Canis lupus familiaris: one gene and its partner. The protein of the gene in region 2 interacts with the protein of the main gene of each other region in a biochemical or structural test. Links are inferred from orthologs where the notes say so. Each region holds a gene or a part of one and is shown on either strand. Other genes may lie near its edges.

Evidence for each region.
Region 1: the proteins of RET (region 2) and GRB10 form a complex in vitro, tested with the Homo sapiens proteins (2 studies listed by BioGRID). The link is inferred for Canis lupus familiaris from reciprocal best matches to the Homo sapiens genes RET and GRB10.

The regions. Positions count from the first base shown.
Region 1 is NC_049239.1:2,102,921-2,106,566, forward strand, and holds part of GRB10 (growth factor receptor-bound protein 10), read right to left. Parts: intron 1,442-3,646; coding exon 1,300-1,441; intron 1-1,299.
Region 2 is NC_049249.1:4,103,873-4,107,518, forward strand, and holds part of RET (proto-oncogene tyrosine-protein kinase receptor Ret), read right to left. Parts: intron 3,070-3,646; coding exon 2,999-3,069; intron 1,724-2,998; coding exon 1,586-1,723; intron 478-1,585; coding exon 378-477; intron 1-377. UniProt on the Homo sapiens protein: Receptor tyrosine-protein kinase involved in numerous cellular mechanisms including cell proliferation, neuronal navigation, cell migration, and cell differentiation in response to glia cell line-derived growth family factors (GDNF, NRTN, ARTN, PSPN and GDF15).

The DNA.
Region 1 (3,646 bases), on a different chromosome or scaffold from region 2:
ACCCCGGGGTCCCTCCCGGCCCCACTGCACACCCTGGTGTCTTGCTGCTAAACCCAGGGTCCCACCCAGCCCCAGTGTTCACTCTACGGTCCCGCTACTCACCCCGGGGTCCCTCTTGGCCCCACTGTTCATCCTGGGGTCCCGCCGCTCACCCCAGGGTCCCACCCAGCCCTGCCGCTCACCCTGGGGTCCCACCACTCACCCCGGGGTCCCTCCCGGCTCCACCGTTCACCCTGGGGTCCCACCCAGCCCTGCTGCTCACCCCAGAGTCCTACCACTCACCCCGGAGTCCCTCCTGGCCCTGCCGCTCACACCGGGGTCCTTTCTGGCCCCAATTCTCACCCCAGGGTCCCTCCCAACCGCACCACTCACCCCGGGGTCCCTTTCGGCCCCAGTGCTCACCCCGGGGCCCCACTCGACAGCTGGGCTTATTTCCCAACTAAAAAACAGAAATAACATTTGTACCTAAATCCTAAAGGTGTTTTGAGGAATAAATTAGTAAATAAAATATGGAAACTTCGCAGAACAATCCTTGGCGAGTGGGACCATCCTGTGAAGGTCGGATGCTCCTGTCGTGGGCATCCTACTTAAGCCACCGCTGCCCACACGGCAGCACGACAGGGTCTCCCTCCCCAGGCTGCAGCCGCCACGCTGACCGGACGGACAGAGCCTGACGATGTGACCTGGGGTAAGTTACAGACGCTCTCCGCATCCCAGGTTCCCCCAGGCCACAGCGGTTCCAGAACATGCAGCTCACAGGCCTATTTTTAAGGTAGAAACTGTTAGTTTAAAAAGGTGGCTGTGGGGATTCCCAGGTGGCTCAGCGGTTTAGCACCGCCTTCGGCCCAGGGCGTGATCCTGGGGTCCTGGGATCGAGTCCTGCATCGGGCTCCCTGCAGGGAGCCTGCTTCTCCCTCTGCCTCTCTATCTCTCATGAATAAATAAATAAAATCTTCCGTGCGCAGGTCACATTCCAGGGCAGGAACATCAAACGCAAACCCTTGGACGGTCAGGGGCCTGAGAAACGCCTCATGCATCCAGAGATCCCAGCCAACGGAATATTCTTGGAGCTAAAATTCATCTTTAAGCACCAGGTCGTTACTTCGCACCATTTGTATGAGCCCCTTTCTACAACACGCAGATGCACCCCTGACCTAACAAGTGGAATTCTGGACAATAAATCAAAAAGTAGCAAGAGGCAAAGAAGGAAGAGGAGAGATCCCCGCTGTCCCCCTTCCTCGCATGGCAATGAGCCCGGCGTCCGTCCTGCCGGCGCCCGAGCCAGGGGCGCTCGCTCACCTGCTTGGCAGCTGCCTGGCCTGGAGGTAGGGAGCCGCGCGTCAGCACCGGCGGGCTCCCGGGGCCGCAGAGCTCGGGGAAGGGGTTGGGGATGGCCGGCAGAGACGAGGTTCTGAGCTGCTGGTCTTCTTCCTGCAGGCGTCTGGGGGGAGAGACACAACCGCGGGTTAAAAGCTGCCGTCGTAAAAAAATATGTAATAATAATAATAATAAACCCAATAAATAAATAACCTATAAATAAGCGCCGCCGTCTCCCGAAGTGATCCCATAATCCCGCCTCTGGGGACGTAGCCCAGGAAACTCCAATAGATACGGGTACCGGGTTCCCAGCAGGCCTGGTGCCCACGGTCAAGAGGCGGAGCGACCACGGCGTGCATCGACGCGTGGACGGGGAAGCACATGTGCTCCACCCTCATAAGGAGACACCTGCTGCCACCGGGATGACGCCGGAGGACACGGTGCCGGGCGACACAAGCCAGCCACAGAAGGACGGATGGCGCGGGACGGCACGTCCGTGGGGCACCTCGGGTCACGGGTCACCATCCCCGGGCTAGCACCAGGCAGGGTGCTGGGGAGGGAGCGGGGGGCGGGGGGCTCCCTCCTGCAGGGTGAGCAAGGCCCCAGGGATCACGGCGACGGAAGTACACGCAGCACCTTGAACTGGTTTGCCTACGGTCGAGACGGCCGATTTTATGGTACGTGCGTTATTCCGCAACAAAAAGTCTGTTTCTGGTTTTTCTTTTAAAGCTGCCATTTCCAGACCCGCAGGGCCCAGATCCCCGCACTCACCGCACAGCCGGGCCTGAGAAGCACCGTGCGAACGCTCCCAGCAGAGACGACGCTCCGTGCGGGACACGTACCAGCCCCCCGCCCCCCGACGGCTCCCCGGCAACGGTGGGCGAGGAGGCTTTGTGAGAAGGAGCATTTTCAGGAGAATAACTGCCCAGGGCCCTGGCAGCGAACACTCCTCCAAACGCATGGAAACACGAGAAGCGGCTTTGCACATCTCGTCTGCATCGTGGAACCGATGCCCGTTTGTACAAAAAGGTGGTCGGGAGTGAATGCATCGGAGGCGAGCGCCCTGTGCCGCGTCCCCCCCAGAGCACGGAAGCCTCGGAAACTCCCCGCAGCGCCCCCCCACCCCGAGGCAGCGCGGAGAGCGCACCACGCTGCCCACCCGCGGGCACGTCCGCCCAAGGCTGCAAGACCCGTGGGTCCTACGACGAGGCCGGGCACCCACGGTAACGGAATCAGGGGCAGTTAGGAAAACAGCGGAAGAAGCAAGTTCAAAGTCGAAGCGAAAAACAACCGAGCGTTGCCTTCCATTGCCTGTCCCGGGTGCTGCGGGCGGTGTCGTGCCCCGGCCACCAGGCGTCCCCCAGGAGCGGGGCCCCCTGTCGGCACACGGGAGGGCACAGCTGTGCCCCTGGGCTCAACACGGCGGACGCGGCCGTGTCCTGTGGACGAATCCCGCTTCTCCCACCCCAGCCTCTGCCATGACCGCGTCCGGCTGACGCGCTGTCCCCTGTGCCAAGGGCAGAGAGGAGGCCGTGCGGCCGGGCCCACTGTCCTGCACCCCGGCCCCGAAGCACGAACCAGTGACCTCCCGCGGCACGAGGGGTTTATTGTGTTTTGACTTATGCAGAAGACACCAACCCCCGATGCTCTAGTTGTTCACCAGAGCTGCTCCCCAGAGGTTGTTCTGGAAAATACTAAAAGCCCCGTATTTAGGGCAGTGAGGTTATCCCATATGGTAGCCCAAGGACGGACTCGCATCATCGTACATGTGTCCAAGCGCACCCACTGAACAAGGAGCGCCAGCCCTCCTGCACACCGAGGACGCCAGGGCCGCCGTGCATCCACGCAGGCTCGCCCACTGTGCCGCCACCTGCTGCGGGATGCACGGCGCAGGGCTGCGGGAAGCGCTCACCAATTTCTCTCAGCTTTGCTATGAACCTGCAACTGCTCTTTCAAAAATAAGCCTTTATTCAAAAAAAAAAAAAAAAAAAAATCCAACCAGACATCGTGCTACGTGAACAAGGCCAGACACAGAAGGACTCCCCTCGTGGAAGCACGCTGACAGGGCGTCCGCAGCAGGGCCACGCAGACTCCGCTGTGTGGCAGGGGGCTTCCGCTGGAGCGGCGGAAACTTCTGGAACCAGGTAGAGGGGGTGGCGGCACGACCCTGGAGAGTACTAACACCTCATACGCTTCCGGCGCTGGGTTTTTTGTTACGTGAATTTCACACTCAACACGTTTTTCTTAAAAATTAAAAGAAAAAAAAAGTGGGGATGCCTGGGTGGCTCAGGGGTTGAGCATCCGCCTTCGGCCCAGGGCATGACCCCGG
Region 2 (3,646 bases):
CGTGCTCCTCTGTTTTTGCCATGGTCCCAACTACTCCCTAGCCACTTCCAACCCCTACTTCAACTTCCACTCTTTCATGTTCCGTTACTAAAAATTATTTTGACTTTGGAATATTTGCCTCCCACATCTGTCTGCAGAGAGTTCTAAGTATAAAGGGAAGAACCTTGGTTTCTTTATGATTTGAGAGGGGGCCTGGCTCAAGGAGTAAGGGTTTGGTTGCAGGCTGCCCTCAGGAGGCAGCATGACAGTCTCCCTTTGCATGGCCTTGCTCTGCCCCTGCACTGGGACCTCCATAGAACTGAGGTGAGGCTGGAGTCCCCCACTGCTGTGTTCAGCGTGCAGGTGGCCAACACAAGGAACTGGCTCCAGGTACTCACTCTGTTCTTAACCATCATCTTCTCTAGGTCTTTGCTGATGTCAGCAAACACTGGCCTCTTGTCTGGTTCCTGCTTCCAACACTGCAGCATTAGACCATACCTGGCGGGAAGCACAGATGGGCAGTTATGACCTTGCAAGGATTGCCCAATCACAGCCACCACACTCAGCACAGTGCCTTCAGCCCAGAAGGCTCTGTTCTCAAACTCAAAGCCATTTCTGCATCACTGACATCCTTCTCTGAGTTGGGCCAGCATCTACGGGGTCACTAGGCCCACTCAGGGTGCCTGGTGTTGTGGTCCAGCATCTTCTGAGTCTCCTTTCCCTTGAGAGAGATTTGTTTTCAATTCCTTTTCAGACGTATTAGAAAACAGCTAACAGGATGCCAAGCCTACTATGGTGGCTGAGGGAGCAATGCCAGTCCTTCAAACACTTATGAAATATTAAGTGGTTGTAGAAAAAACAAGCAAAATATCTGCCAATCACCTGTCTTGTACCTGCCTCACTTCCTCATTTCTCTGGGTCTATGGCATGGCTGCAGGGGCCCCAGGGCTGCTATGTGGGTGTGCGCTGGGCCAGCTGCCTGCCAGCCCAGGCCACCCAGAGAGATGGCACCTGCACTCCCTCATTTAGCCCTGAGCCAGGGTAGTCAGCACACAACAGATTTTGTGGAATGAATGGACCAGTGTGTTTCTGCCTATGATGGTCCCTTTCTCATGTGTTCTCAGCCTGTCCTCTGAGAATTGTCTGCTGGAACCACCATATGTGAAGACTCTGGGGCTCCTGGGCTGTGGTGCAGGGTCCTTATGTCTGCTACCTCCTGACCTCTGTGCTTCCATGTGGGGACTCCCCAACATGCACCTGTCGGCTCATTCTGAATTACCTGCTCCTCCCCAAGTATCCTGCAGGGACAGGCCTTGGGTTTCATCTGCTCCCTGGGTCTGAGGCACCCTTTCATCCTTCCCAATTGCCGCTCATCCAAGTCTCCCCCACACCCTCAGGAAGCACACTCAGTCCCCAATGGAATCAGAGTCCCCAGCATCTGTTGTGGTGCCTAGTGGTGGCTCTCTGACTTCTGGCATGCTCTGCCCTGTTACTATCTACCACCTGCTTCACCCTGGGCTTGCATCCAGGGCTGCTCAGGAGCAGGGAGGGAATGAGTATATTGTCTGTGTCTGAGGGAGGCTGGGCTAAAGCAAAGCCTGCTCACATCTCCTCGCTGCAGTTGTCAGGCCTCTCCATCCGGTAGCCTGTCTTCAGAAGGTTGAAGAGCCGCTCTGGAGGAATCCCAGGGTAGGGGTTGCCCCCCAGAGTCACAATCTCCCACAGCAGGACACCGAAGGACCACCTAAGGGGAGTGAGACAACCAGTGAGTGGCTGTCCTGGGCCAGCGGTGTCCTCCCCTCAGCAGACGATATGTCCATCCTCCCAGCAGCTGTTCACCCCACCAGCCCTCAGTGCAAAGAGCCATCTGGGGCCTGACTTCATGGATGGATGTAGAATGGAGGTGGGGGTAAGCTATCTGCCTGCCCAGCTCTCACCCCTGCAGTGCTGCAGCCCAAGAGGGCCACTGCCCAAGCTCAGACCCCACACCCACGAGGGGTACTTGGCTGGCCCTGTGGAGATGCACCGAAGCATCAGAGACAGCACAAAGCAGCTGAGCAAGTGCAGCAAGGTGCAAGGCGGGGACCTAGGTCACGGGGATCTAGGCCATGAGACCCAGGGCTGCTTGTACCAATTCTTTCACCTTTCTTGTGGGCTTGGAAATTTTCATGAAATCTTAGAAGAAAAAAGGCCCTGACATAGAAAAATATTTAACTGTGAAGTGCGAACCACATTACAAAATAGCATTGTCACATGAGCCCACTTACAGCAACAGACAGCATACACCTGCACATAAGGAGAACACTAGAAAGCCCATGTAGGCCAGGAGCTACAGGAGCTACTTAGAGGCAGTGGGATCCAAGTGACTTCCAGTGTCTTCATTACCCTGTTCTCTGCATTTTCCAACATTTTACATACTCTCAACATAGCTGTTTTGAACTGTTCAGGAGCTGCCTTTCCTCAGCCCACATTATTCAAGACATGCACATCTGTTGATGGCAGCATACTGAGTAACAAGTCTGTTGTGTTTTTGAAAGTTATCTGGTCTTATGATTGGACCTGGAAGGCCAACTTTTAGTTCTCATTTTTTGAGCAGTTTGGGACTCACTCAAGGCCACGCTCCTTGTGGGTGGGGACCATTCTGCTCCCAGGGGAACTTGCCTGAGCCCAGCCCACACTCAGGTCCACAGCCGGGGAACTGCTTGGCTGGGCCTGGGTGGCATGAAGATGCCCAAAGAGGAGAGGGAGGGGCTGCAAAGGGGAGCAGTGAGCGGAACTTGCAGTTACCTGCTCATGGCTCTCATGCACTCCACTGCAACTCTCAGAACCACTGCACAGGTCCCTGCCATTTGCTGAATGAATATACGAAGCTCCCTCAGCTTGCAGGGAGGGGCAGCAGTCATTGCAGATGGTTGGTATGAGCCAACAGGCACTGGTGTCCCAGCCACGCTGCCCAGATAGGCATTGTGGCATATTATACATGTAACCTTGACCCCAGAAAGGCAACACCCACACTTACACATCACTTTGGGTGGTATAGATATGATCGAAAAGAGATTCAATTGCCATCCACTTGACTGGAATCCGACCCTATAAAGGGAATGAGGAAAGGCATTAACATCACTCTGACAACACCCTGGGAACCAGGGGTTAGGGGTGTGGAGGAGGGTGAGGTCATGTCCCAGGCACTCCCGGCTCTGGAAGGATGCTATGTAACGACATGCAGAGTGCTCCCAGATACAGAATTGACAGCAAGTTCCAGAGGGTCTGGAACTCTAATCTGGCATGGCTGAGACACTGGAGGGAGTCAGCTGGCCTGCCCACAGGTACACAGGGCGTGCTTGTCATGCACCACATCCCTGCTGAGAAGAAACCCAAGGAATCATGACTGGCTCACACCAGCCAGGTCCCTTCCCTACAGCCAGGTCCAGAGGGTTCTGGGTGCCCAGGGTGGTGAAGCCCAATGTGTGGGCAAACAACACCATCCAGCAAGATCTCCCGATTTCTGAGGGTGAATGAGTTTGGGATACCAACTTCCAGCACTTCCATCTTGGGGACTTTTGATGAAAACCAACACGCTAAAGGCTTTTCTGAGACACCCCGAGGGAAGAAATCTGTTTCCATGCTTTGGGGCTGCTTCTTTCCCCATCATTTTATCCCAAAGCCC